4 linked regions of the Notamacropus eugenii genome follow. The protein of the gene in region 4 interacts with the protein of the main gene of each other region in a pairwise test. Links are inferred from orthologs where the notes say so. Each region holds a gene or a part of one and is shown on either strand. Other genes may lie near its edges. The genes, in order: SEC14L4, CCHCR1, CCDC33 and USHBP1.

Region 1 (7,811 bases), about 46 Mb from region 4:
AACAATCACAACAACCCCCATTTTGGCTGTATTTTAATATTCAGAAGGCACTTGTTGCACAAGTCCCCTGGGAGGTAGGGGAGTAGGGAATAATTTAGGTCTTATCATCATTAGCCCACCTCTACCCTACCTCTAGCCAGGTTATGTCTCCAACCCCTCCTCCTCACCCCCTTCACCTCTGAGCCAGCGAAGAAGGAAATAGTCATCAGGGTTGGGCAGGTTGGACAGCACATCCTGGACATTTTTTCGGAACTGTGGAGAAGCAACGGGGTCAAGATCACTGGCCCTGATCCATGGGGCCTGCATTCCTGCCTTGGCACCATTAGTCAACTCACCTCAATTCAACTCAATGGCAAAGGGTCATAAGATCAGTGAAGGAAGTGGGTGTATTGCACCCAGAGGAGGGAAGATTGGAGAAGTAGGGAGAGGGAAGGGGAGAATGATAGTTGTCTTCACATGATTCTGCCACAGGGGAGAGGGATTTCATGAGTTTGATTTGGCTCAGCCCCAGAAGGCCGGATAAGGAGATTAGGGGAAGGTTCAAAGAGGCTGATTTTGACTCAGTGCCTTCAAGCTAGCACTGAGTAACCACTTGGATGACACTGTGAGTGTGTGTGTGTGTCTGTGTGTGTGTGTGTGCGTGTGTGTGTGTGGTGTATGTATGTTTGTATATATATGTATATATATATATATATAAATGTGTGTATATGTCTATATGTGTGCATATACCTCTATCTATCTATCTATCTATCTATCTATCTATCTATCTATCTATCTGTCTATCTATCTATCTATCTCCCCTTAAAAGAATATAAGCCATAGTCATGGCCCAGATTTAAAGCTGGAAGGGACCTTACAAACAACATCAAGTTGAGACCCTTCATTTTACATATGAGTCAAATGAGGCAAACAGAGGGTAAGTGACCTTCCCAGGGCCACACAGCTAAGAAGTGTCTGAGGCAGAATCTGAACTCCCATGTTCCTGAGTCTAGGTTGTGCACACCCTCTGCTGGGCCTGACTTGAGAGCAGGGATGAGGTCATTTCTGGCTGTGTATCCCCAGCACCAAACACAGTGATTAAGCACAGAGACGTTTAATAAAGGCTGCTGGTTGATTGGCTGATTGGTGTCTAGAGGGGATTCTTGTGGAGGTCCCTGGTCCCCCCCTAACTCTACAATTCTGTGACTTGCCCAGGACCACTCAGCTAGTTAGTGGTAAAGGTGAGGCTTAAAACTTGCTCTTTGGGCTCCATGCCCAGCCAGCATCTGGTTCTCTACACCTTCATGTATGTTAATTGGTTTAAAAATAGGCTAGGACACATGACACCAAGGGATCCCTATAGAGGGATTCTCTCCTTCCCACCCAGATGGGTCACACTGAGGCTTAGTCAGTAGGCTCATTGGGATCCACCTGGACCATTCCCCTGGTCTCCAGAGCCAAGGGCTAAGCCAGGAAATTGAGGAACACCTGAGGAGCTCGACCAAGCTTGGGTCTCAGTCTCCCACTCCCCTCTCCATCCCTTGTCAACTTAATAGGGAAGTTCATCACTAATGACATCTTTCCTAGATAATCAATGCCTCAGAGCTACCATGTAATAGACCAGAAACCAAGGCCCTGAAAGCAGGCCCTCTGAGGGAGCAGGAGGAGCAAGGGCAGCTGGCTTCCTCCAGGTCAGACGGCCAACACAGCCAACATGCAGCTGAGCAGGGATGGGCATCATGACCCTTTGTCCCCAAATCCCAGAGTTCTCTCCCCTAGGTCATATCTATTAGAGAGGTGATGAACAGGAGCCCAAGAAGAGATGAATGAATGGAGCTGAATGAAGGAATTGAAGAAAGAGCTAAGTGGGGAAAGGTCCATGAGGCCTTTGGGGAGTCTCCTGTGGCCTGGCCTCTATAAACAGCAGGAGAATGGGAGGAGCCCTGATCATGGAGTCAGGAGAGCTGAGCTCGAACCTGGACCCAGGCGCCACCTGCTGTGGGACCATGCTGAGCATCTGTGCTGGGCCTTGGGGCTATGCCCCCAGCCTTCCAAACTCTATGGGACCTCTCAGAAGTGGGCTCCAGCAGCAGGGATTTGGGGCCCTTAAGCCATCCTTGGAGCCATGGTGAGGTGTCCGAGGAGAGCACTGATTAAAAGCAAAGTCATTGGGATGAACTTTCGTTTGGTTCTGGGACCACAAGAGTTGAGCAGCCTCTGAACCCCAGTGGCATCCATGCCAGGGGGGGCTGGGTGTGGGGGGACCCCCAGGAAAGTTTTCTGGAGACTAGATTGAGAGCAGGAGGCCCAGGGAGTCCAAACTCCTCCTTCTCCCCTGAGGCCCCTCCCCAACTATTGTTTTGGATGGGGCAGGAGCTGCCCTGCCCAGGTCCTGATATGAGAGGATATATTGCCCCATGGCCTCCCCACTCCCTGGGGAGAAGAGTCCCACAGCCAGCCCAGCCTCTCTGCCCCAGCTCTTCATGAGCCCCCAGGCCCAGGATTATGAGGCAGTATGAGAGGGCCCACAGAGAAGGCAGTGGTTCTGAAGTCAGAGGACTGCCCTGACACTGCCCAAGGGACTTTGAGCAAGTTATTTAATCTCCCTGGGCCTCAGTTTCCTAAGTAGAAAACTAAGTGGATTCAGAGGTCCCTTCTGGGTGTGTGAGGCTACAAACAGAGGGGGAGGGCAGGAGCATGGAATTCTAGCTGGGAGGGGCCCTAGAGCACTTGTAGACCATCCCCCATTTTGAATGGAGGGAGAAACTGAGGTCAGAGAGGGGCAGGGGCTTCCTCTGGTCACCCAGCTTCCCAGAAGCAAAGGCAGAATTCCCACCCAACTCCTCTGTCCCTAGCTTTAGGACTCTCTGCCCTGTCTAAGCTGGAGGCAGGGAGGTGGAGAAGGGATGGGGCTGGAGCCTTAGAGGGGGGGGCGTGAGGATAGTGGGAAGGGGAAGGATGGGGGACAGGCTCACCTGGGCCAGCGCCTCCTCCTGCTGAGGGCTCAGGTCCCCAACCCTGCCACTCATGGTGCTCACAGGGAGAAGTCTCTCTGCTGTGTCACTAGGACAGCCTTTTCTCTGGATGGAAAGTGGGGCAGAATTGGGTTTGGGGTGTGGCCTGAGGGGCAGGGAGGAGCTAGGGAGCCCTTGGCCCAACCTCAGCTGGCACCTCCTGGTGCCAGCTGAACCACCTTTGTGCCTGCCAGCTCCTTAGTGCCTCCACCTAATTCTTGAGGCAGCCAGGGTACAGACTAAGGTTTCTAACTATTTACCCCTCAGATCAAAAGGCACAGAGGTCTCCCAGAAGCCTCAGTTTCCTCATCCGTCAAATGAGGTTTAACGTAGCGAAGACAAAAATTATTATTATCATATTTATAGTAGACAAGAGTCCTGAACACAGATCTGCGCTGGAGTCTTGACTTCTATAATCTGTGTGGTCCTGGGCAAGTCACTAAGGCTCTCCCAGCCTCAGTTTCCTCATCTGTAAAATGGGAATATTATTAGCACTTACCTCCCAGGATTGTGAGAATGAAATGAGTTAACATATGGGAAGTGCTTTGCAAACTTTCAGGTGCTACATAAAGTTAGCTAGCAGTTAGTTTAATGTAAATTAAAAGTGATTAAGATGAGAAGGTTAAACTAGGTGACCTGTCTGGTCCTACTTTAAATCTAATGTCCCAAGAACTGAAGTCCCTTCACAGAACTACAGGCTTGGAAGGGCCCTCGACAGTCACCAGTCCAACTAGGACATGACCAAGAATCCCCAGGAGAAGACACCAATGGGTTCAAGCATATTACAGCTATGGATGGTATAATTTTCCCATCTGTAAAATGGGGAGATTATCATAAAACTGTCTACTTGTCAGTTAGTTGTGAAGAAAACCCTTTAGAAAGTGTTGGGCACTCTGGAGGTATAAACTGCTGCTCTTGTTATTGAGATAGGGTCCTGAACCTGTGGGGAGTGCCTGGGTGAGCACCTTCCTCATGGATGGTTGTGAGAGAAGGAAGATGCCAAGTATTTACTAGACAAATGCCAAGCACTTTACAAATGTTGTCTCATCTGATCCATTACAAAGCCTGTGGGAGGTGGTTGCTATTATCTCCATTTTACAGTTGCCCAGGGTCACACAGCTAGTAAATACATGATCCTGAATTTGAAGTGAGGTCATCCTGTACCAGTGGCTGCCAAATATGGGAGTTTTGTATGTGATGTAGGGAACAGAGGAAGTCACTGGAATGAGTAGCTGAAATAACATGATCCATGCTGTATTTGGGAAAAATCACCTTGGCAGAGGTATGGAGGATGGAAAGACTTGAGGCAGGGAGGCCAAGCAGGAGGAGCAGAGGGCGGTGGTTGTGAGAGTGGAGACCACAGTCATGGAGGCCAATATGACAAAGTTCAGCTATTGTCTGGATGTGTGGGATGAGGGAGAGGAGGAGCCAAGAGTGGGAGCCAAGCTTGTGTATGGGTGACTGGTAGGGTGCTGCTGCCTTCAACACAACAGGGAGCTTAGGGAAAGGGCTCAGTTTGGGGAAAGACAAGCTTTGTTTGGATGCACTGAGTTTGAAACTCTCTGTCAAGATGTCCAGGGTGTTCAAAGGATATTTGATTCAAAATGTCCAGCAAGCAATTGGAGATAATGGACCAGGAGCTGAGGAGAGAGACTCAGACTGGTTATGTAGACATGGGAATCATCTACTGAGAGATGATGATTAAATGGCAGTGGTGAGATCGCCCAGAGGGAGAGTGGGGAGAGGATGGAGGACTGAGCCACACACTCATACTTCGGAGGCTTGTCAAAAAAGGTGATCTTGCAAAGGACCCCTGAGAAGGAGAAGTCTATCTGTCTAGGTAGAAGGAGAACCAGGAGAAAGCAATATCCCCAGACCCAGATTGGAGACAGCATCAAGAGCCATCCAGGAGAAGCTGGTCCAGATGTCACCACCATAGGCTCATGGCACAGGTGAGATTTGACCTCACATTGCTTGCCAGGGCAGGTTGAGGGGAGGGAGGGATGGCATAAATTGGAAAAAAAAACCCCAAAATTTGGAGAGACCGACTTACAAACAAGGTCTCAGCCCAGATATACTGGTCAAAATAAACAGTGGGAGGGTGATTGAGGTCATTGTCAGAATCTTCCACAAGGAGATGTATTTCTCCCAAAAAATCTTGATGTGCATGGAACACACAAGATGGTGGAGCATTGGAAAGCTATTCTGTAGCAAGGAGTGAAAAGCTGGGGTCTCAGATGATCCCCCTGTAAAATAAAGGTTATGGATAGATGGTCACGAATGCCCCTTCCAGGTCAGAGAATCACCAAATGCCAGAGTTGGAAAGACTGACTCCTAGAGATTTAGTATACCATATTCAGATGTACTATGGCCTTCACATCAGCCTTACTTAATGGTCTCCAGTGAGGTGCAGCTGTCCCAGGGCAGCCCACTGCACTGGTGCTCAGTTCTTCTGGGTAGAAAGCTTGATGAACCTGGAGTTAGGAAGACTCATCTTCCTGAGTTCAAATCCAGCCTCAGACACTTACTAGCTGTTTGACCCTGGTCAAGTCATTTAACTCTGTTTGCCACAGTTTCCTCATCTGTAAAATGGCAACCCACTCTAGCCACTCTGCCAAGAAAATCCCAGATGGGGTCATGGAGAGCTAGACATGACTGAAAAACTGCTGAACAGCAGCAAACCATCCCCCAGTGGTTCTAGTTCTGTGCGTTGGGGACATACAAAACACAGCTAATCCCTCTTCATTTTTTTTTAAATACGTGGGTTTTTTGTTTTACTGCTGTGCTTGATATAGTGACTTTATGAATATCAAGCAATTCATTTTTACTGCATCTTTACTTGTACATTTGGCCTTAGGTTGCCTAAACCATGTAAATACAAATAAAATGAGTGTAGCAAAAATACTGAAAGCAAACAGCAGGTAACTTTCCAAAGAATGGGATGTGAACCGTCTCTGCCCTTCTCCAGAGTAAATGGACTGGGTTAAAACTTTGTCTTAAGGAACACTTTTGCAACTGCAGTCATAAAGGTGTTCATGTTGAGATTGTGTATTCCACAGATACACAGGGAATGACATGTAATATCTATGGGACATCTTTTCTACCACAGCCATGAGTGCTCCAACCCTAAAGTACCCACAATAACTACACCTGTGGCTGGAACCAATTATCCCTTTATCCCCCCACCATGACAGACCAATATGTAGGCAGTTTTCTTTGCTTAGACATGGAAACTGTTTTAACACTGGCCGTGTGAAATCACAATGTATATGCCAAACATGTAAAACGTGTATGAAAATTCCATATCCCCATATTGGTCACCTCAGATGAAAACAGATAACTCCCCAAATGTTAACTGGCTCTTCTCCCCTAATATTAAACATAAAAACCACATGGGAAATATAGAAATCCAAATAGAAGTAACATAAACCTGTCATAAATCGTAAACAAAAACTACTTGTCGGACAGCATGGATGACAAATGGTCTACTGTGTAAATTTTAGAATGAGGCAGACAAAAGTTGGAAGGCTGGTTCATTCTCCCCTCCTTCTCCTGCTTCAGCTTCATCTCCTTGGGTGTCCGAAGTCCACAACGTCCACTTGTCTCACAGGAATTGCATCATTAGTGTGCTGTCTTTGTATGATTCTTCACTTAATGTATCAAGTTCAGCAATGGCTTCATCAAAAGCTGTCTTTGCAAGGGAGCAGGCTTTCTGTGGAGAGTTCAGGATCTTGTAGTAGAACACAAGGTTCAACACCAGACCCAATCTCACAGGATGCCTCAGTTGCCTCTCCGTTTTGCTGATTTCAGGTGCTTCTTGATAGGCTTGTGATTGATCCCTATTCCTTTCCTGTCATCAGCAGCAGCAACTTCAGCCAAACATCGGCAGTGTTCTCCTTTCATTTTCAAATAGAAAACTTTGCTTTCTGCTTATGAAGCATTAGGAATCAAACACTTTTCCAATAGAGACAGTACATCATGGCAGATATCTCTTAGTTTGGTCTCAATTTTCTCTCTGTATTCTCAGGTCATCTGCTGTTTTTTCTCAGCACCTTCTGTCTTTTGCTCAATACTTGAAACAACCCTCCAAGATGACCTTCGAGCCCTTACATTTTTGTAGGCAGCAGAGAGAAGATTCCTCTCCTCATCGGATGATTCAGCTCCTTGCTCAGTTACAGACTTCATGCAGGCTGCCATGTCATCATATCTCTCAGCGTGCTCAGTCAATTTGGCCTCCTGCACCAGCTCATTTTTATCCATGACTGAATGTTCATGAGTGAGCAGCTGCGGTAGACAGACAGAAGCAGGGTTCAGTGGTCTCTGGGCAGTGGCAGAGGCAGCAGCGGGGCTGAGACTGTTTAATCCCTCTTCTAAGACATGAGGACAACATTCTCATTCCCTCTGAGTCTTCTCTCCAGATTGAATATCTCTGGTTCCTCATGAAATGGGTCAAGACCCTTTCCCACCCTCATTGCCCTCTTCTAGATTCTCTCTAGATGGTCAACTTCTTCCAAAACTGGAATGCCCAAAAGTTAAGCCAACCCCCAAGTGGAGCAGAGTCAGGGCAGCAAAGAGGGAGGTCATACCCTCCTCCCCAACCCTGGTCACAGCCTCAGACATCCTCCATATCCTTGGCAGTCACATAACCCTGGTTCCAACCAATCTTTTAATCCCCCTTTTAGAGGAGCCATTACTGAGAACTGCCAAACCCTAAGGCTGCACCTACCATGTGTAAACCCTGACCCAGGAAGGAGGCCTCCTCTGTGGGTGGAGGCCTTCCTTAGGTTTCTTTTGTCCTGCAGTTGGCAGGATGGAAAA
Region 2 (7,847 bases), on a different chromosome or scaffold from region 4:
AAGACATGTTAGGAGACTACAGCAATATTCTAGGCAGATAGTGTTTGGGGTCCATTTTAACATGAGTTCCAAAAGGAAAATAGGTAGAATATTTGAGTACTAAGAAGTAAATGAAAGTTTTGGGAGAGAAGCAGGATATCTGAATTCTGAGAAGTGGGGAAAGAGAACAAGGAGGATGAATGGAGAGAACCCTATCCTAACAGCCCCAGCCTGCTTCCTTCAGGTTCTGCTTTACTCTCAATTCTCAACATCTTCCTGGCCAAGCAGATTACTATTCTAATTGAATATCAAAGGATCTTTGCTAAAGTGATTATCTCAGATTAATTCCCTACCATGTGGAACTGAGACAAATCCCAACTAACACCTAGTATTTTCTTATTCTCATTCACCTGTTCCTTGTGCACCCTCTGAGTCTCTTCAAGCTCTTGTCTGTTTCCTTCTTCCAATTTCTTCCGAATGAGCTCTGCCCCAGCCAAAGCAGCACGAAGCTCCTCCACCTCAACCCGCATTGCCTGTTTTGCCTGTCCTAAGACTTCCAGCTCCTCACCCTGGCTTGCCAGATGAGCCTTCTGATGGACTGAAGCCAACCGCAAAGCCTGGCTCTCAATCTCAAGTCTCCGAATCTCTTCCAGTTGTTGAGAGATCATTTCAGTTCGGGAATTCAAGCCTTGTGGCCCTACATAGTCCAGGGACCTTTGGGGAAAGTTATAGGTGAGATATGGCCTCTTTGGTCTTACACAAGAAAGGGATGGACAAGAGGGCCGCTCTGTTTCCATCTAGGTAGTTATGAGGACTTCTCTGATCTGATATGTAAGGATAAGGAAGTGAAAAGGGTGCCTCGGGGGAAACTGGAAGTCAGTCAGACACACAAGAGGATGCAAAACCTGGAAACAGTAAGGATTCTGTGATCTACTCCTTAAACATTTACTTAGCACTTTTTATGTGTAGGATACTAAGCTAGATGCTGGGGATACAAAAAGGTATGTACCATAATCTATACCTTTAAGTGTACTTAACGGGCCTTATCCTAGTTGAGGGAAGGCATTCACATACGTAAAAAGATAACAGTTGCATCTATTGCATAGTTGCATCAATTAAGTGTACCTCATGAATGGTACAATGAGTGCTAGGATATCTGATTCACAAGTAGATGAAGACATTATGAATCTAAGAGTTCGGCTTGAGGTGGAAAAGGAAGGGATACTCAGTCTTCTGTGCTCTGGTTTGAGAGAATGAGGAGCCTGAACTCCAACCTGAGGTAGGGGCAGAGAAGGCAATGGATCCTCTTGTTCTAATGTGACAAGAATAGGGGCTGGTTAATAATTTATTGAGCATTTACGGTATAAATTCTCCTAAACCTTCTGAGAGGAGGCAATAAAAATAAAAGACATGATCCCAGTCCTTGAGAAACAGCTCTAATATCATCACAATGTTATTTCAGAATCCATGGCTGCCTTATAACAAAGTCCTTTGGTAATTCAGGAGCAAAAACAGTAGCGGACAGGATCTAAGATAGACCTGCCTGTAACTCCACTCTAAAATCAATAATTTTATTAAGACATTAAATTTAGAAGAGTCAGGATATACACGTGAGACAAGAAAAAATACAAAAGATCAAATAATACAGTTCAAATTTCATACACAAAAGCAGAAGGTACACAGAATTTTAAAAAATCAGAACTGTTTGTTTTCTATCTTTCTTACAAGGGAAGGCTTGTGGGGTAAGATAGGAGAGAAGGGTATATATGGAAATTAATGGAAAATAAAAGAAAAATCCATCAATTAAACTTTTAAAAATAATTAACACAGAAGTGAAGAACAATTACAGGCAGAAGCTAGAATAACTAGATCCCTACCTGGTCCTTCTTTTGGGATCCTCACTATCACCTGCCCCATCTTGTTCTCTCAAAATTTGTAGTCTATGATGCTCCCATCTACGATCATTGTTATCATAGCCGTGATGGGGTGAAGGCAGGACTATGGGTAAGGGTGGGGACTGGACAGAAGTGGTCCTGGACATGCTTGGAAGGGGCCGTGTTTGGAAATGAGATGGAGGCATGAGCCCAGTGAGACCTGAGTAAGCAGAGGACAGAAAGGTCAATATTGAAGGTATAGAAATAGGGTATGCAATCTCCAATTCCATAATCCATCCCTATCCCTTTTACCTGAAGACTGGAACATCCCAAAAGTGGATGGGGGTTCCAGGTTCTTTCTCCAGCCATCCATTTTTTCCTGTGGAGCAAGAGAAACACCTCAAGCTCCAATTCATTTTCCAAGGTTCCAACCAATCCCTGGGAAAGATCCTATGATAACCTTGCCAATTCCTTAGGTAATTTAACATCTATCCAGTTATCATTTCTTTCCTTCCCCTCCCCATCCCTATCACCCTCATTTTTGAAAGTGACAAACTGGAACATCTATGAAATAATCAGTGGCTGGCTCCCACCTAGCTTTGATAAGAGACTCCATAACACAAAACCCACGATAAAAAATAATTTTCTAAGGGAAGCAGGATCTAGGATTAAGGCCTCCAGACCCCTGAAGGTCTACATGGCATTCATAGGACTTGGGTAGCGCCTTTCTCTCCCCTTTGGGCTCTACTTTTCTTATTCTGTGATCTGAAGGTGAGTGAGCACGTACGGAATTAAAGGGCTAGGGAAGCAGCTCCACTGGATGGTTTGCTCAGGGTGGCCCCGGGGGTTAATCCCCTCCCCCCCACCATTATTCCCAACACTGATTTCCCACTCCCCATCAAAGAGTCAGCATACTGCTTGGCACCAGACGAAGTCTGTAAGATGCAGAGATCTCGAGTTACCATTAACAGCAAAGCAATTTTCGGAACCATCTTCCTGGGTGAGCAGGAAGTCTAACAGTCCTTTGCCCATGTGGGGCCTTCTGCTCATCTCTAGCCCCTGTTAGTTTGTCTTTCATCCCACCCTGATGCTCTCACTTTCTCTCTCTATGGCGCTTACCATCCACTCCAGCCGCCCTCCTCCCCGCCTCTCCTGCACCCCCGTGCCCCGCCCCCTCTCTCACCCACTTTGTTCCCCGTCCTACGCTCCCCCCTCCCTCCCTCTAATTTGCTCGGCCCGGGTCCCGTCACAATTGCAGCTCTCTGGCCGCCCCTCAGCGCCCCCGCTTCCCCCAAGCCTCCCCTAGCTCCTGCTCCCTCTTCCCCGGGCCCTTCGTGTCCCTCCTCGCCCCGTTCCTCGTCTCTCGGTGCCCCCTCGCCCCACGGCCCCAGACCTCCAGCACTTCCTTTGCCCTGCCCCTGTCCCCCTCAGCTCCCTAGTGCCCACGTTCCCTTGCCCCCCTCCACCCCTTCCCGCCCTCAACTGACTCACTCTCGTGCCCCCTTACCCAGCGCGAGACCCCACCCTCCCCTTGTTGCCCCACCTCCGCCACAAAGTACCCCGCCCTCCACAGACTGACCGCGCTTGCGCAGAGCGGGCCAGCCGGCGGGCTCCGGGACCCGCGTACTTCATTCGGAATGGGGAGGGAGGGAGGACGAATCGAGACACGCAAGCGCCGTGGCGTCCATATGGTGAACCAATCCAGGGACTCGGCCTATCCCCGCGCCCTTACAGATCCCTCCTCCCCACCGAGCTCCTCCTCCTTTCCCTGAAACCCGGGAAAATTCAATGGCCAATCGGGAAGCGAAGAAAGCGGTCGCGCCGGGTCCTTTTTGTGCCTTTCCTGACTACCGCCCAATGGGGTCTGGGCGATGGAATGAGGACTGTCCAATGGGGAAATGGCATCGGGAGGGGGCGGGGTATCTGAGGCGCGCGGAATTCGGGCCCGGGGAGTTTGCGAAGGTGTTGGACGCTCGCCTGTCCTCGGAGGCTCCGCCCAGCTCCGCTCCGGGCCCGGCTTCTGCCTGAGCCCTCTGCTTTTGCTAGCCCTGTCAAACTTCAGCCCGAGCGTGCGCGCGGGGGACAGGGTGGGGTGGGGGTCCTGTGGAGGGGGGACTGGGGTCCTAGCCTCCTCGGTCGAGGTTTGTATTGCCTGAGGGAGGGGCACGGCACGCTGAGATTGTCCGGCACTGATTGATCCGAAATTAGGCTGCCCGGGCTGGGGGGACCCGCGTTTGCATTGCTTCGGAAGCAGTAGGACCCCAGGTTTGCATTGCACTCCAGAGGGGAGGGAGGTAAGGGATCTTGCTTCGCTTTACTCCAGAAATAGGGATCCTCAGCCCGCATTTCCGGGGTTGCAGTCTTATCACCTTGAAAGGTTCTTAAGCCCCCTGACAAGAGTGAGGTGTTGAGCCAGGAAAGTTGCGGGGGGAGGACCTCTGGAAAAGTCCTTTTGAAAGAAAGGGCCCCCTCGCCCCCAATTGCACCGAATAACTAAGTTATTATTAAACAGTGGTGGAAACCGGCCTCATTACGATCCCTACTGTTACATTGTACCAACTGAGTATACAATAGTATCCAATACTCCGGGTGTTAGTTAGTTTCACGGGTTACGAGCCGGTCCTTAATTTAGCCTGATACATCTTCCCTAGTTTTGCATTGCACCGGGGATGACACCTTAATTTTTTTCTTTCAAGGCCAAGTTGTCCCCCTCGGTTTGCGAGCTGAATACCTTCCAAATTTTCGTTGTACTGAACCGAATTGCACAAGAATTGTACTCCAAGTTTGCATCTGAACATCTCTCCATTTTTAATTACCCAAGGGTAGAAAGAGCTATGTATTCCCTGACTTTAGAAGGGAGTCCATAGGGGAAAGCCCCTCCCCCCATGTTGCCCTGCTTCCAGCTGCTTCGCATGGGGGTTGGGAAGGGTGGAGATCTCTATACTTTTCACCCTCCCACTGGGGCTGGCTGTACCTACCACTTGGGCCTCAGAGCTGACCTGTGTGATGTGGCCCTTCGGCCCCAGTGTGAGCCTGTCCTCATCTCCCCGGTCCATGCCAAGCTGCATGCTGAAAGCCAAGGTGACGACTGGAGAGTCAGCCTGGAGGACTGCAGTAGCTACGGTGAGCCTGGACGTGGCTGGCTCTCTTTTTAGGCAGATAGGTATAAATAGGTATGGTATGATTTGAGAAGTACCCTAGGACCCAATTGTCATTGCCACTCAGATTCCTCCTCTAGATTAGACAGCAAAGATCAAAAGACTTAAGTTGTCTCCAAAAGGTACCTGCTGTCTGTTAGGGTGATGTGCTATATGTGATATGTGTGTATATGGATGAAAGCCTTTCAGAGCAGATTAATTCCATGGTTGAGTTATGAGATTAGTTCCATATTTATATTTTATTACAGAATTGTTGCATTTATCCCATGTCACTTGATCTTTAAAACAATTGTGTGAGGTTTCCCCATTTTATAGTTTTCTGAGATTCAGATTAAGTGACAATTCATGTTTCTATAGCACTTTAAGGTTTATTGGTCATTTTCCTACCAGCAATCCTGTGAAGTGTAGGGTAAATATTATAATCTTTGTTACAGGGACTGCTTACTAGGTAAGGGGATACAAATAAAGAAACTGGGTACTAACTATGCTTTGCCCAAGGTCACATAGTTAGTAATCGTCAAAAGGTTACTAGAGCTCACTCTTTCACACTCCATACACACTGCCTGTGTTTTAGCAGATCAGCAAGCTTGCTCACCTTGGAAAGTATAAAACAGGTCCCAAGGGAACTGTACACAAGATAACAATTTTATTGCGGAGCAAGAAAAAAGGGGGTGAGTGGGGTTCAGTTCTAGAAGAGAAGAGAAAAGGCAGGGAAGCTCTGGCACAGGTTTTCCAGGAGTTGGCAATGAAATTAAATAAATATAGGGACTTTTTAAGATCACATCTCCAAGGTACACTCCCTCTGCTGCTCACTATTAGTCCAGGTTCCCAAGGCTTTAGTATTTTTCTTTGTTACTTTGGCCTGACCATGTTGTTCAACCGTTTAGCTGTCTGACGTTTCATGCCCTCTGGACTTTTATCCAGGGGTTTTCTTGGCCCTTGCAATAGCCATTTCCTTCTACAGTGGATTTAGGCAAACAGATTAAGTGATCTGCCCAGGGTCACACAGTTTAAGAGACCAGATTTTAATTTAGATCTTTCTAACTCCCAACCTATCCACTGAGTCATCTAGCTGTCAATAGATTTCAGGAAAGGTTCCTTTTGATCCAGAAGATTTTTTAATGTTTGACCCAAAAGAAATAGGAGGTTTCTTCTGTGTCTCAGAAGCCTCAGGGAAGCCCTAAGGTCCCTATTGGTGGGAGGGGGGAATCCCAAAACTAAGATTGTCCCTGTTTGGAACAGGTCTGGGTGTCTAACTAGCCCCATTGGTTTCTTATTGTCAGTGAAGACTGAGTCTTTACAGAATATGATTTTAAAAGGACAGGGGAAGAATTACTAACTCTTTCCATTCTGTGCTAACTTTGTTAGGAAACCCCCAGGAGCAGTGAGCTGAGATGATTGGGGGAGCCAATCCCTTCAGTTTACCTGGAGCCAGGCAGGATAGGAAACTAGAGAGAATGCCTAGTTATGCCTGTGAACTCATCATTTATAGAATCAAGGTCCTGATTCAAATTCCAGCTTGTTTCTTACTTTGTGTGTTATGGAACTCTGGGCTGGTCCCTTTCCCTGCACTAAAAGAATGATTAAAGCCCCTTTTAGTTTTAACAGTTTACAAAACAGTCCCTGTTGTCAAAATGCTTGAGGTTATGATCTGAGTGAAGCTGAAATGGGAGGAGAGGATGATTCACCTTAGGAAATTGGCTATCCTACATGACTTTTTGACTGTTATCTTTGTCTTGCCTTCCTTTCTCTGCCTTTCTTCTCTTCATCTGTTTTTCCTTCTATCTCTCTCCCTCTCTTTCCCTCTCTCTCTGTTCCACTCTCCTACTTACAGGTACCTTGGTCAACAATGTCAGGCTCCCCAGGGGTCACCAACTGGAACTGAGTGACGGTGATTTCCTAACCTTTGGCCCTAAGGGGCCTGTGGGAGCCAGCCCTCCTGAGTTCTACTTCATGTTCCAGCGTGTCAGAGTCCGACCCCAAGACTTTGCTGCTATCACTGTCCCCAGAGCTGAGGGAGAATCAGGAGGTGAAGGTGGTTTTTGGCCCATGCTGCCCCCTCTGGGGGCCCCACAGCGTCCTCTCAGCACTCTCTCCCCTGCTCCTAAGGCCACCCTGATCCTCAGCTCCATTGGCAGCCTCAGCAAACTCCAGCCTCAGCCCCTTACATTCTCCAGGGTTGGGGGTGAAGGTCAGGGCCTGACCTTTCCAGTGACCTTTAGGGAGGCAGGGGCCACCCTTCCCACTCCACCTCCAGCCCCTCGGAACCGTCGGAAGTCAGCACACAAGGTGCTGGCTGAGCTAGAGGATGAGGGGGGAACTGAGGAGAGCCCTCCCAGAGTTCAGGCCGAAACCAGAAAGAAGCCTCGAGGAATGAAGATTCCAGTCACTCCCAGTGGGTAAGTGGGGGGACCGGCCTAACCTCAGAGGTAACATTGAGCTGTGAGGAGTTTTTTCTGGCTCAGGAAGACAGAGGGAGTGCTCCCAAGAGAGGAAGGGGAGAGAAGGCTCTGGAAAATCTCCAGCCCAGATAAGCCATATTCACCATTCAACACTACAGATTGTCCAATATCTTCTGTCTTAGGAGACAGAGACAGAAGAAGAAACAGGAGGTTGGCAGGGACTATGAGAAAAAAACTGGAGGGGTGATAAGAACAAAAGCAGGGAGGAAGAGAGGAATGGTGGACATGGGAAAGAAAGAAAAGTATATAGTACTTTAAAATTTACAGAGCTTCTACCTCATAACTCACTCAGGTAATAAATATTCTCCACATTTTACAGATGAGGAAACAGCCTCAGGTTAAATGGTAGATAGCATTTAACCATACACACGTAT
Region 3 (7,226 bases), on a different chromosome or scaffold from region 4:
CCAGCTTCTCAGCTCCTCTTTGTATGTTGTCTTTTAGAATGTAAACTCCCAGAAAAGTTTAGTATTGAGAAAATTATAAGCATAATTGACCATATTAATAATAAAAACAACAAAAAAATCATATGTCAATAGATGTAAGAAAAGCTTTTGACAAAATGCAACCTCCATTCCCATTAAAAACAACAGAAAGCATAGGAATAAATGGAGCTTTTTTTAAAAAATGATAAGTAGTATCTATCTGTTGCTGGTCCTTTGCTTTCAAAGAAGACCAATGACACCATGGGGTGATGTCTTGACCAGTGCACAAACTGGATTTAAGTGAGGTAGAGTTGCATAATGTCAATAAAACCCAACAGGAAGAGATAAAAAGAGAAATTCCATTTAAAATTAGCTGTAGACAGTAGAAAACACTTGGGAATATACCTGCCAAGACACACATAGGAACTCATATGAACACAATTACAAAACATTCTTCATACGGATAAAGACAAATCCAAATAATTGAAGAAATATTAATTGTTTGTGGGTAGCCTGAGCAGTACTATAAAAATGACAGTTACCTAAATTAATTTGCTTATTCAATATCATGCCAATCAAACTATCAAAGAATTATTGTAAAGAGCTAGAAAAAATAACAAAATTCATCTGGAGGCGCAAAAGTTTCAGGATATCAAGAGAATCAATGAAAAAATGAAGGAAGGGAGCCTAGCAATACTAGCTCTCAAACTGTACTACAAAGTGATTATCATCAAAACAATCTGGTACTAAGAAAAAAATAGAGTGGCTGATTGATGGAATAAATTAGGTCCATAATATACAAAAATAAACAACCATAATAATCTAGTGTTTGATATACACAAAGATCCCAGCCATTAGAGCAAGAACTCACTTTGACAAAAACTGCTGGGAAAACTGGAAAGCAGAATGACAGAAATAGGCATAGACCAACATCTCACTCTATATATGAAGATAAACTCAAAATGGGGACATGATTTGGACATAATGGTTGATACCATAAGCAAATAAGAGGAATACAAAAAAATTACCTGTTATAGCTATGATAAGGAAAGAATTCATGACCAAAAAAGAGACAGAGAGGATCAAAGGAGATAAAATGGATAATTTTGTTTATATTAAATAAAAAAGTTTTGCACAAATAAAACCAATGTAGACACTGAAAGCAAGAGACTGGGAAGAAATTTGTTAACAGCAAATTTCTCTGATAAAGGTCTAATTTCTCAAATATATAGGGAGCTGAGTCAAATTTATAAAAACAAGAAACCATTCTCCAATTGATAAATGATCAAAGGATATGAACAAGCAGTTTTCAGAAGAAGAAATCAAAACTATCTATAGTCTTCTGAAAAAATCCTCTAAATCGCTAACAATTAGAGAAAGGCATATTAAAACAACTCTGAGGTACTATGTCACACCTATCAGATTGGCTAATTTTGACAGCAAAGGCGTATGACAGATGCTGGAAGGAGGTGGAAAAACAGAGACACTAATATACTCTTGGTGGAGTTGTGAACTGATCCAGCCATTCTGGAGAACAATTTGGGATCTATAGAGATCTATAAAATCCTTTGAAGCAGCTATTAGGTCTGTATCCCAAAAAGATCTAAGAAAAAAGGAAAAAGACCCACATGCACAAAAATATTTATAGCAGCTCTTTTTGTAGTGGCAAAGAACTGGAAGGTGAGAGGATGCTCAGAGAATGAATGAACAAGTTGTGGTATGTGATTGTGATGGAATACTATTGTGCTGTAAGAAATGATGAAGGAAATGGTTTCAGAAAATATCTGAGAAGACTTACATAAACTGATACAAAGGGAAGTAAGCAGAACCAGGAAAACAGTGCCCATAGTAACAGCAATATTGTGACAATAATTCACTGTGAAAGACTTAGCTACTCTGATCAATAAAATAATCCACAACAATTTAAAAGGATTCATTATGAAAAATGCCATCCATCTCCAGACAGAGGAATGATGGTCTCAGAGTTCAGATGGAAGCATATTTTTTCTTAATTTATTTTTCTTGCTTTTTTTCTTTTTTGCAACATGTCTAATGTGAAATTACTTTGCATGACTTTATATGTATAATGAGTGTTGTATATCTTACCTTCTCAATGAGTGGGGGAGGGGTGGAGAGGAAGAGAATTTGGAACTGAAAATTTAAATTTAAAAAAATGTAAGGTCCTCCAGAACAAGGATTGTCTTACTTTTTGCTTGTATGTATATTCCCAGCATTTCACATAGTGCCTGGCACATAGGAAGTGCTCAGTAAAGACTTATTTGTTGCCTGAGTTCTTCAATCCTAGGCTAGAAAAGGGAGTTGGGGAAATTCTCTAGATACTTTTCTGGCCCTATGATTTTGCTACTTGAAAGTTAGACCACCCTATTGTATTAGGCACACATTGGATTGGTAGGATATTAGAACCAGATGGGTACAGTTATCTGTTGTCTCTTCCATTTTACAGATAAGAAAACTGAGGCTTATAGTGGGGAAGTGAAAAACTGAAACTCACAGAACTAATGGATAATAGGCTTACCCTTTTCTTGCTCCATCCCATTCTCTTTCAGAGTAGAAGCTTTCTTGTTGGATTCCTGCTCAATTAATAATCTTGCGTGCTAATGTCTGGCACTTCTGGGTCAACTAGAATCAGTCCCACTCCACCTGGGAATTGGCACAGATGTCTCCAAGTCTGTGGAGCAATGACACAGGCACGGACATCCCCTGAGGTAGGTTTGAGCAATAGCTAGAGGCTGTGTGGTCCACTGGGCTCTGGTGGCCAGAGACAGCGGTGGACGTGGCAGAACTGTGGCTGGATGTCTTCCTTAGTGTAGGGGCATTCCAGGTCTGGCAATGCCATCAGGGGCCACAGACATGGCAGTCAATGGGGGGGGGTATGGCAGGGTCAGTAGCCAAGCATCCTTAGTCTTTACGTCCCCCCATGAATGACAAGGGGTGACACTGTCTCCCTGCTCTCACGGAGATCTGGGGAACCTACTCTTCCCTCCCCTGAGGGGTTGGGGGTTGGTTCTGTTGCCATAGTGATGCTATGTGATGTCAGAGGTAAATGAGAGCACAGGGAAACCACCCACTCATAGACTTGTAAGTTGTTAATATTTGATGTTAGAGTCCTAGAGTTGGTAGTCCTCCATTCAAGCCCCCTTATTTGTACAGATGAGTTCACTCTTGAAGGTAGTTATATGAAAGAAGGATCAGAGTTACTCTGCTTTGCCCAAGGCAGAATTGGAAGCAAAGGATAGAAATTGAGGGAGATGGGAATATGGGAAGAGAGGACAGGGGAGCAGAGATCAGCTTAATAGAAGGAAGAACTTTCTTCCAATTATCACTGACCAAAAGAGGAGCTGCTTTTCCTTAGGAAGTAGTGAGTTCCCTGTTACCAAGATCTTTAAGGAGAATTGGGGTGACCACTTGCTAGTGATGTTGGAGAATTAATAAGAAGACTGATGTCTCCTGGCCCTTCGGAAGTTTATATTTGGGCTGGGGAAGCAAAATCAATGCATATGTCTGACTTATTTTGATTTCTCACTTCTCTGGAGCATTTGATGCTTTTGGGCCCCTCTCTCCTCCCTAGGTTTTTATGACCCTCCTTCTTACCTATCTGACCAATCCCCTCAATCTCCCCCACAGGCTCATCATCCATGGCCCAGCCCCCAGGTGAACAGGAACATCAGGGTTCACTTTTCTCCTTTCTATAGTTTCCATTGGTGACTTCCTTAGGCCCCATGGACTCAACCATCAGCTAGTGGCCTAGTGGATAGAGCACCAGGCCTGGAGTCAGAAAGACCTGAGTCCAAATCCTGCCTCAAACACTTCATAGTTGTGTGACTGTAGGCAAGTCACCTCACCTCTGTCTGCCTCAGTTTCCTCATCTATAAAATGGGAGTAATAATAGCCCCCACCTCCTAGGGTTATTGTGAGGGTCATGAGATAATGTTTGTAGAGTGCTTGGCACATAGTAGGTTCCTTTCTCTTTCCTTCTACGCAGATGCCTCTAATATCTACAAAGTAAGCTCTCATCATTTTCTTGAATTTCATTTAGTCGATTAGAGTTTATTAAGTGCTCACAATATGCCAGGCATTCTGCTAAGCACTGAGGATACAAAGAAAGGTTAAAAAAATGACTGTTCTCATGTAGCTCACAGCCTAATGGAGGAGACAAGCCAATAAGTTAGGTACAAATAAGATAGAAACTGGGGGTAACCTCAAAGGGAATTGTGCATGTTCAATCATTTTAGTCATGTCTGACTCTCCATGACCCCATTTGGGATTTTCTTGACCAAGATACTGAGCAGTCTGCCATTTCCTTCTCCAGCTCGTTTTACAGATGAGGAAACTGAGGCAAACAGGATGAAGTGACTCTCCCAGGATCACCCAACTAGTAAGCATCTGAGGCTGGATGTGAGCTCAGGAAGATTTTTCTTGATAGACATTAAGATTAATATTAAGTTCTTGTAGAACATAGGACTTCAACTGAGCATCAAAAGAATTCAGGGAGTCTAGAAGATAGAGATACAGAGAGAGTATGTTCCAGGTATGGGGTGGGGGGGGTGGCCAGTCTGAGGAATAGACAGGAGATCAGTGTCATTGGATCTCAGACAAAGTGAAGGGATGGGGAAGTAAGGGAATAAGGTGTAAGAAGTCTGGAAAAGGAGGAGGCAGCTCAGGAAGAGCTTTAAATGCTGCGGTCCAGCATCTCCAACTCCTTGCTGGATATGTGCCCCTAGATGTCCTATAGGTACTTCAAACTCGAGAAGTACAAAATATATTGCCCCCCTCCCACTCCCACTCCCCACCACTTTCCCTTTCCTCTTAGATTCCTATTTTCTTCTGAGGTGGTGCTAATAATCTTCCAGTAACAAGGGTGAGATCCACACCAACCTTGGAGTGCTCTTGAACTCCCCACTCTCACTCATTCCCTATAGGCAAATCGTGCTGATTCGGCCCATGATTCTATGTTTGTTGATATTTCCTCAGAAGGATGAGACCTTCCAATGACTCTCTTCCCCATCCTGATGGGGGCTATCTGATTTATATCTGACCACTGGACCTAGAAGTCTGTGGAGGAGAAAGTGAAGCTGGTGCACAGCCCTTGTCACTTAAATCCAATTCATTTGCAAGTCACAGCATCACTTTCCTGGTGTCATGGTCCTCTGAGAATGAAGGACAAACAGCGACAACATCCAGATGTTATGTCCAGACTACTCAGGGAAGAATGGCTAGCTTCTAAAGGCTAACTCTGCCTACACCTTCTCTTCTTTGGGGTCACAGGGCTGGCCCATTAGGAAAGTCAAAGGTCCAGTTGCTTATCCAGCAGAGAGCTATGTTCCCACCAGCAGGGCTTTTAACAGTCTGAGGGGGACCAGACTGATGCTGTTAATCAAGGAGACAAGGATCTGCCTTCTGCTCAGACACTGTTCTCTGGTTTTGCGAGTCCTACTTAATCCCTTACCCTTTCCCTTCCTTCCTTCTCTACTCAGTATCAATAAGCAGAGAGGAATTTCTCAGCAAAGTTTCCCTGGTCCATGGATCAATGGGAACAAGAGTTGCCCTACTGGGAACCAGGAAATAGGTGATTTGCTTTCCACTTTCCATTCCATTTTTCCTTTTAACCTGATGGCTCCAGTATCTGCCTGCTGCTACCCCTCAACTTCCCCAGGCCCACTCCTGACTGGACCCCAAGACTTTTTCCTTCTTCCTTTCTCCTCATTCTCCCTCTCATCTCTCCCATTCCATTCTTCTCCTAAACCTTTTCAGATTGTGTTCCAAGGATACAGGGCTTAGCTTTTAGCTTTGGTTAATCTGATGAACTAAGTCCAGCCAAGTTGTTAAGGACTGATAATAACTATATATTTTTCTACCCCATGTAATATTTGCTTATTTTAAATTTAAAACTCAGAGGTCAAAGAATGGTAGATGCTTCTGTCTTGTTCTCAATGGTGGGGGAGGAGGAGGGAAAGAAACACATTTGGAACTGAAAATAAAATAAAATAGAATTTATAAACAAACATAAAATATCCTCTCCTCTCCCTCTTCCCGCCCCTCTCCAGGAACAGAAGGCAGTTGGTAAAGAAGATATTTGGGAGCAGCCAGTCTTCCTGTACCTCTCTGATCCAATCATCTGCCAGCTTTGCACTACTCCTGTGTTCTCAGGATCTACAGGGAAAATGGGGACAATAGAAACTAATATTGAACAGAAGAATAGGACTGGGTTACCTGGACAACATAAATATAGGGGCTGCTAGAGAGCTTTTACTTTAGTAATTTATCCCTCCCATCATTTCCCATCCATGAGTTTATTTCAAAGACTTAGAGTGTCATATAATGACAAGAGTCCTGGACTTGGTGTAGAAGGATTGAATTCAAATCCTGGCTTGCTTGTTTGTTGTTTATATGACCTTGTGACCTCATCAGAGAAATGAAGGGGTTGGGTTAGATGGTCTCTAAGGTCCCTCTCTTCCCTAAATTTTTTCATTTGATACCCATAGCCTAACTAAAAAAATAGGTAGATGAAATTCTTTCTATTTTATTGATTGTAAAACTGAGGTCCAACCATAGCTACTCACCAATATAAATGTTCCATTTTCACCAGGTCAGTCTCCTCACTATCTACATGAGTCCTCTTGGAGTCTTGGAATGATTCCATGATCTAGGATGCACCTTTATCTGCTCTGAATCCTGCTTATCCTGTGAGGCCAAGTTCATGTCCTGACTCTCCAGGAGTGCTTCTCTCACCTCTCTAGGCTACACTGACCCCACCTTTCTCTGACCTCTTACAGCCCTTGTTGACCATAACTCCATCAATTGATTATAAACTCCCTTCAGTTGTCTGGTAGTTGCTCCACAGGTCAGTTAGTCAACAAGCTCTATTAAGCGCTTACCATATACTAGGCACTGTGTCTTACATAGGCCCAAATTTGGAACTCTGCTCCAAATGTTGCTACATATGTTAATGTTGCATACCCTTTGATTCAGCAATTCTGCTACTCATTCCATACCTCGAAAAGATTAAAGAAAGAAGAAAAAGAACCAAACATGCAAAAACATTTATAGCAGCTCTTTCTGTGACAGCAAAAAATTAGAAACTGAGGGAATGCTCTTCAACTCCGGAATGACTGAACAAGTTACAGTATTTGAATGTGATGGAGTACGATTGTGCTGTGAGAAATGAAGAGATGGTTTCAGGAAAATCT
Region 4 (7,722 bases):
TCATCTAGAATGTTTTCCCTCTCTCTCACCACCAGATGACTCCTAGTTATTCTTCAAAATCAAATTTAAATGCTACCACCCCTGGGAAATTTCTTTCTCTTGTACCCAGCTGTCCCTCTCCCAGCCCCTCATTTGGTAAGAGCTTTCCCCAATAGGCCTTACATAGCACTTAAAAAAATAACTCTCCAAGGCTCTTATGTTTGTGAGAGAGAGACAGAGATGGAAAGAGAAAGGGAAATAGACAGAGAAAGAGAGAAAAAGACAGAGAGAAAGAAAGAGATGAGAGAAAAGGAGAGACAGAAAGGAAGAGAGAGATAGAGAGGGAGACAGAAATGGAGTGAAAAGGAAAGAGAGAGACTGAGACTGTGAGAAAGAGGAAAAGAGAGAGAGATACAAAGGAAGAAAGAGACAGACAGAGACAGAAAGAGAGAGAGATTAAAAAGAGACAGAGACAGAGAGAGAAAGAAAGAGATGAGAGAGAAAGAGAGAGAGAGAGAATCTGTGGTTTCACTGATGTAGGGAATACCTCCATGAAGAAACTCCCTTCTGTTAATAGAGGTTAGCCCCCTTTCTCCCTCTCTGCATTTAGAGAGTGACTTGGTTAGAGTCATGCCGCTAATATGTGTGAGGGGTTGTCTTCTGGCTCAGAGGCAGAGCCTTTCTCCTCCATGTTCTGGTGCTTCTTGTGTATCTGTCTCTCTCTATGTAGAGATCCAATTAAATATATATACATATATACACATGTATGCATTCTAAGATTCTATATTAATCCCTTCTGGACTATAGTCTGTCATTCTCTATGTTTCTATATCGCATGTATTTAAGATTCTTTAAGTATATGTATAGACCTATGTGTTATATTACAGCCATTATATCTATTCTAAGTTCCTATGAATATATATACATATTCTAAAATTCTATAAGTATATGTGTATACATTTATAACTATAATACAACAAATGATTACCTTTCATTTTATATCAATTGTATATTCTAAGTTGCTATAAATACATATACCTATATTTTAAAATTCTATATTAATGCTTTATTAGTCTATATTATTCTAGGTATTTTTATATTGTATATAAGATGCTATATTTTAAGATTCCATATTCTATATTAGTCTATGCCCCATTATTCTATATATTCCTATGTTATATATTCTAAGATTCTGTAAATATACTCTATTAGAACTATTTTATGTATATGTAGGTACATGTATATATGTAGGTAGGTACACATACGTGTGTATGTGGGCACATACAGGTACCATAATTATACAAACTTGTGTTTGCTTATCGCCCGTCTAGAGGTCCTGTGGTATAGCGGACAGCGGTGAGCTGCCTATGGAGATCTGAGTTACAATCCTTTCCGTTCTGCATCCTGGCTCTGGGATTCCATGAAAATCACTGAACTCCCCAATGCTCCAGGAAACTCCTCAAGATGACCCGTGGCCAAGATGTTTCCCCACGTGTGATGGTACAGGAAGTTCTTCAGCTGGTGCTGCCTCACCTATAAAATCCTAGGTCCCATCACCACCCCTTTCCCTGTTGCGACTACCTATAGGACACTTGTCCCTTTCTGTATTGTGGGCTCCTTATTGAAACCTAGTGTCTCTTCCAAGGCCCAATGTGTGTGTGTGTGTGTGTGTGTGTGTGTGTGTGTGTGTATGTCTGTGTCTGTGTGTGTATGTGTGTGTGTAGCTGTGTGTGTATGTGTATGTCTGTGTCTGTGTGTGTATGTGTGTCTGTAGCTGTGTGTGTATGTGTATGTCTGTGTCTGTGTGTGTATGTGTGTGTGTAGCTGTGTGTGTATGTCTGTGTCTGTGTGTGTGCAAGTGTGTGTGTGCGTGCGTGTGCGCACGCGTGCTTAATCGCTGCTAGCTATGTTGTCTCACACGAGGTTCTGTGTTCAAAGGGCTCCTCAGCACCAGGTAAAAGTTAAACCTTTTGACCTTCAAAAGTCCTTCAGAAGCTGAGACTCTGTGATTACATAACCAGAGAAATGACCAATAATGTGTCCTTTAAAAGCAGAAATCCAACAACTACAAATCATTCCAGAAGAGTCAAATTCTTTCCTGAGTCACAGACTGTTAGAGTTGGGAAGGACCTTAGGACACAGACTGTCAGAGATGGAGGGCCCTTAGAACCCAGAGTATCAGGGCTGGGAGGACCCTTAGAACCCAGGATATCAGAACTGGGAGGGCCCTTAGAACAGGGAATGTCAGAGCTGAGAGGGATGTTAGAACACAGTGTCAGAGAAGGGAGAGCCCTCAGAACATGAAATGGCAGAGCTGGAAAGGGACATTGGAACAGAGTACATGAAGTCAGAGCTGGGAGAAACTTTAGGAAGCCTATAAGCCAGCTTTCTCCCTGTAAAGTCAGAGCTCAGAGCAGTAAGACATGACAGGGGGTCATACCTTTCTGCCCTTTGCCCCCCAGCCCCAGTCCTACCTGGGTCTGTCCAGCTGTAGACAGTCACTCTGGCTGCTGGGCTCTGCAGTGATGACCAGGTGCTCTGCCAGTGACTCTTCCCTGGGCAGTCTGGGTGCCTGCTCTGGTCCAACGCTGCTTCCCATGGTGTCTGCCTCTTCAGTGCTCTCCACCACAGGGTCCAGCTCCCCCTGCAAGCACCCTTAGCCTTGGTCACGGGGTTCTGAGCCCCAGTGGACTAACATCCTATGTCAGTATTGTGGGTCATGGAGGGGACACTCTGGTCAAGGAATTCTGGGGATACCTCCATTGGGCAGAACTTAAGGTTCAGAATTTTCTGGGAAGATGAGGGTTTCAGATTGGCAAATAGGCCCCAAGACTAAAGCTTGAGAGGTGGGGAAAGGCCTCCAGAGTTAAGGTAACCCAGGGGCCTTTCCATTCTTTCCAACCCCACCCTGCCTGACAGAGGGAGAGGTGGCCACACTCGGCCTGTCCATGGATTGCCATCACTCACTGGGGGTGGTGCCCTCCCCCGCCGGCTCCGGGGTCTGCTAGCTCGGCTGCTCATCTTTGGTTTGGAGCTGACCTGTGGGGGACAGAGAGAAGGTGGGCCCCGCTGACATCCCCCCAATCTATTTCTGTCCAGCCATGAATCCCAAAGACTTTGGCCCTGTGACCTTTTACCTTTGTTTTGTTGGACCTTAGTTCTTAGTGTCTCATCCGCACCCAAACAAGTTCATCTTCCTGATTTCCGTTTCTGTCACCAGCACTGCCATACTCTCAGTCTCCCTAGTCTGAACTCTCAAAGGCACCTCCCCATCATCTTTTTTCCTTACCCAGCTACACTCATCAAGTCAAGTCTTTACATTGAGTCTTCCAACCAGACATTGTGAAAGAATCAGACTAGAGCTCTTTCTCTCTTCCTTACCTGGTACAGCTACTTACTTTACCATACTTGTCAGCTTAGGGAGAGCTTAGGTTATGTGATATCAGTCACTGGTCCAGCAAGAAATATAGAAGAAATCCCTGGAAAAGGCAGGCAGAGGTCTTAGAAGGAAGTTTACATGTAATACTCTGATAGATGATACTCTAACCCATTTGTGTCCTGGAGCCCTTTGGAAGTTAGTCTGGTGAAACATATGGTGAAACCTTCTCAGAATAATGTTTTTCAATGCATAAAATAAAAATGCAATTTAATTGGTTTCCTTTGTAATCCTCTGTATTTTTACAGTTGTCTATATATGTATGTGTGTGTGTGTATATATATATACACACACACATACATATATACATATACACACATATATGTATATGTAAATGCATGGTCTCCCAGGAATATATCTGCAGACCCCTAGGGAGTCCGTGGGCCCAAGGTTAAGAATCCCTAATCTACAGAACTATGTCACTATATGCAGGAACAGCAACATTGTTTGATGACCAACCTTGATAGACCTACCTCTTCTCCACAACAGTGATTTAAGACAACTCCAAAAGTCCCATGATAGAAAATGCTATCCACATCCAGAGAAAGAACCATGGAGTCTGAATGCAGATCAAAGCAGACTACTTTCTCCTTTTTTCCCCTTTCCCGTGGTTTTCCCTTTTTGTTCTGATTCTTCTTTCAGAACACAGCTGATGTAGAAATACGTTTGATATGATTGTACATGTATGGCGTATGTTAGGTTGTGTGCCATCTTGGGGAGAGAGGAGGGGAAATTTAGAACTCATAATCTTATAAGAGTGAATATTGAAAACCAAAAATTAATTAATTAAAAAAAGAATCCCTGCTCTAACAACCTCCCTTTCTATCCAAATTGGGAATCTTTTGCTCATCCTCACATCTGATCGCTACCTGCCCCATGCAACCCCATGCCTCACCTACCTGCATTTCTGACTGCTGATAAGGGTGTATTGCTTCCCTCGTCACTGTCTGCTTTCCCAGTTCCAGAATTCAGCAGATGTGCTTCTCTTTCCAAAGTCCTCCTATACCAATCAGTCTCCAGCTAGTCCCCCTGCCTGCTTCTAGCTTCTCCCCCTCCAGTCTCTTAACACTTAGCATAGTGCTTGGTACATAGTAAATGCTTAATAAAGGCTTTTATTTCATTTCATCCTCTTCCAGAAAACTTTCCCCAGTCCAACCATTTGCTAGTATTCTCTTCCTTCTTAAATCATCTTTCTTTAAACTTGTCTGTGCACATACTGAATCCCACAAAAAAGCAAACTCTTTGAGTGCAGAATGGTCCCTTTTTGTCTTTGTATCCCCAGTACCCGGCTCATTGTATCTCATAAATGCCATTTAAATGCTTATTAAATTTAAACGTTGAATCTTCCTAAAATTCAGCTTTGGTCATGCCCTTCCTCTCATTTTCTGTGGCTCCCTATCACCCATGGAACAAACAGTTAAACTCCTTAGCCAAGAATTCCAAGTTCTCTCCTTGTCTCCTCCTCTACCTAACATTTAGCAGCATTCCTTCCTCCCATTTTTCAACATACATTTACTTGGGACTATGGGAGAGACAGGGCTAAGAACTTACTGTCTAGCTGGGAAAATAGCTTTTTTCTTCTATGCCCAGAAATACAAGGCAAGACCACAAGACAGTTAGATAGGGTCTCAGAGGAGAGAGAGATCACTTCTGATAGGGGTGGGGTGGAACAGGGAAGACTTCCTGGAGAAGATCACTTTGGAACTGAGACAAGAAGGAAGGGCAGGATATTGGCAGGCAGAGATAGAGGAGGAGACATATTCTTCTACATGATTCTCAAAACATCCCATGGGAGTTTCATCTCCCCAGCCTGACTACAACAAGCTCCCCAAGGGCAGAGCTAGTTCTTTCCTTTCCCCTGTCTTTTCCCATACCTCACAGGATGCCTGGCTCTGGACTGGGCATACATAAATGCTAGGTTTTGATAGCTCAGATGGTCCTTTGAGGAGATCTTTATCTTGAGTTAGGAATGGCTAAAGTTAACTTGGCCACTGATTCTCTCTGTGACCTGATGCAAGTAACTTTCCCTGTCTGGGCCTCAGTTTTCTTATCTGTAAAACAATGTGTACTACATGACCTCTTTTTAAGGTCCCTTCTAGTGCCACAGGTTGACCGTTCATGGAGATATCATCAGTATCTCCTGGCCCAGTGGTTCTTGATCTGCAGGCTGCAGACTCCTGTCAATCTCAGAGTTAATGCAAAAGCTCCATGTCATGGAAGGACTGTCTCAGTGTAACAAATGAGCAAACAATTTATCTTCTGCAGGCTAAACAAATACTTTTGCTTATATATACACATATCACTTATTAAAATATACATAATGATTAATAAAATACAAATTCATCTTGCATAATGGATGCCAGTAATGCCACTGCTTTTCATGCCTGAAAAGGATGGGAACCACTACCTAGACCAAGCCCTTCCTTTAGCAGATGAAGAAACTAAGAATCAGATTAGGGAAGTGATTTGCCCAAGGTCACACAGATGGTAAATATCAAAGCTTTGAAAAACCTTCCATTGGAAGTTCTGGGGCTGAGCCCAGAGTCAGAAGGGAAAGAGAGCTTTTAGAAGCTGAGAAGAGATTCCAAAACCAGACCCAGCCAGCATGAGCCCCAGTATACATCTGACTGGAAGATACTTATCCTTCTAGGAAGGGTGAGTGAGTTGGGACTTCAGAGCTCCCATTCTATCCAGCCTCATTACCCCGGGAGTTACCAGAGTTGCAGTGGATGAAAATACTGGATCCTAGCTCACTGATACCCTCCTGCCTGCATTTATCAGACTCATACCAAGGGCCTGACACAGTCCCTCATCACCCTTGTTCCCTTTTCTTAACAAAGCCTGTGGGGATCCAGATACCCAAAGCCAAGAGTAAAGCTAGGACAGGGAGATCACCACCCCCACTGCTAAGGCAGGACCCCCAGACCCTCCCAGGTGTAATGGGTACCTCTGGCTCACAGTGGGGTCATCAAGAGAAGGAAAGCTTCAGGAGACCAGGACTCCCCCAGGGCTCCCTGTTACTGACAGAGTGAAAGCCCAGGCCACCAGTCCTACTAATAGGACCATCACTGTCAACAGCTGGTCAAGCCAGTGCCGGAAAGACTGGGGGCTGGACTCAGGGAAGTAGGATACCACCTCCCCCCTGTCACGTGGGTCCCTATTGTGTAGTTTCCTCCCCAAGGGCATGTGTTCCCTACACACCCTAGGACCAAAAGCAAGGAAGGAAGGAAATGAGGGAGGAGAATAGGGGGTGAGGGAGAGACTTGAGGGGATGAGAAACAGGGAGGGAAGTAAGGTTGTTAGAACTGAAGAGTAAGATGGGGCAGATCTAAGGGGAGTGAGTGGTAAGGATGAAGAAATGAGAATCAGAAAAAACTGGAAGAATCAGAATGGGAAAAAAATTTGGGAAGCATGAATGGGGAGAGAACTAGGAGAATGGAAATGGGGAGGCTAGGAATGATAGAACAAAATAGTAAGTGGATTATTGAAAGGCAAGATCCCTGAGAGAAATGAGTTCAAGAAGCCAGATGTGAATGGACTATATCCTGTCTCTACTGATGACATTCTAGAACAGGGTTGGCGGATATGATTGCTGAGCCACTGTCAGTGATCACTAAAAGTTCTGGGAGAAAAGAAGGGATCAGTCTTATAGGATTGGAGAAAGGCAAATGTCCTGATTTCCAATGGGCCACTGAGCTTTACTCAGTTCCAGAAAAAATTGTAGAACATATTGTAGCACCTTTCCTTTTTTTTTTTTTTTAAAGATAATTAATTTATTTTTAGTTTTCAACATTTACTTCCATAGATTTTGAGTTTTTAATTTTCTCCCTCTGCCTCTCCTCCCCCCTCACCAAAACAGCATGAATCTGATATAGGCTCTACTTATACATTCATATTAAACATATTTTCACATTAGTCATGATGTAAAGAAGAATTAGAACTAATGGGAAAAATCATGAGAAAGAAGAAACAAAATGAAACAACAAAAGAAAAGGAGAGCAAATAGTCTACCTCCATCTGCATTCAGACTCCAAGGTTCTTTCTCTGGACATGACTAGCACTTTCCATAGTGAGTCTTTTGGAGTTGTCTTCAATCCCTGCATTGCTGAGAAGAGCTAAGTCTATCAGTCAGTCATCGCACAATGTGGCTTTTACTTAGTATGATGTTTTCCTGGTTCTGCTCACTTCACTCAGCCTCAGTTCATATAAGTCTTTCCAGGTTGTTCTGAAGTCTCTGCTTATCATTTCTTACAGCACAATAGTATTCCATTACATTCATATGCCACAACTTGTTCAGTCATTCCCCA

Evidence for each region.
Region 1: the proteins of USHBP1 (region 4) and SEC14L4 interact in binary tests that used the Homo sapiens proteins (3 or more experiments, as listed by UniProt). The two-hybrid records come from large-scale screens. The link is inferred for Notamacropus eugenii from reciprocal best matches to the Homo sapiens genes USHBP1 and SEC14L4.
Region 2: the proteins of USHBP1 (region 4) and CCHCR1 interact in binary tests that used the Homo sapiens proteins (3 or more experiments, as listed by UniProt). The link is inferred for Notamacropus eugenii from reciprocal best matches to the Homo sapiens genes USHBP1 and CCHCR1.
Region 3: the proteins of USHBP1 (region 4) and CCDC33 interact in a two-hybrid assay, tested with the Homo sapiens proteins (2 studies listed by BioGRID and IntAct). The two-hybrid records come from large-scale screens. The link is inferred for Notamacropus eugenii from reciprocal best matches to the Homo sapiens genes USHBP1 and CCDC33.

The regions. Positions count from the first base shown.
Region 1 is NC_092875.1:14,838,570-14,846,380, reverse strand, and holds the start of SEC14L4 (SEC14-like protein 4), read right to left. Parts: upstream 3,066-7,811; 5' UTR 3,009-3,065; coding exon 2,955-3,008; intron 253-2,954; coding exon 177-252; intron 1-176. UniProt on the Homo sapiens protein: Probable hydrophobic ligand-binding protein; may play a role in the transport of hydrophobic ligands like tocopherol, squalene and phospholipids.
Region 2 is NC_092873.1:85,013,167-85,021,013, forward strand, and holds the start of CCHCR1 (coiled-coil alpha-helical rod protein 1), read right to left. Parts: upstream 3,001-7,847; 5' UTR 2,976-3,000; coding exon of another isoform or gene 2,973-2,975; 5' UTR 2,904-2,972; coding exon 2,769-2,903; exon of another isoform or gene 2,641-2,768; intron 2,233-2,640; coding exon 2,166-2,232; intron 2,074-2,165; coding exon 1,857-2,073; intron 694-1,856; coding exon 390-693; intron 1-389. Other genes in the region: TCF19 (transcription factor 19), read left to right, coding at 4,739-4,976, 6,846-7,410. UniProt on the Homo sapiens protein: May be a regulator of keratinocyte proliferation or differentiation.
Region 3 is NC_092872.1:242,198,961-242,206,186, forward strand, and holds the start of CCDC33 (coiled-coil domain-containing protein 33), read right to left. Parts: upstream 3,059-7,226; 5' UTR 2,576-3,058; coding exon 2,555-2,575; intron 1-2,554.
Region 4 is NC_092875.1:60,746,932-60,754,653, forward strand, and holds the start of USHBP1 (harmonin-binding protein USHBP1), read right to left. Parts: upstream 3,013-7,722; 5' UTR 3,001-3,012; coding exon 2,947-3,000; exon of another isoform or gene 2,624-2,946; coding exon 2,454-2,623; exon of another isoform or gene 1,311-2,453; intron 1-1,310.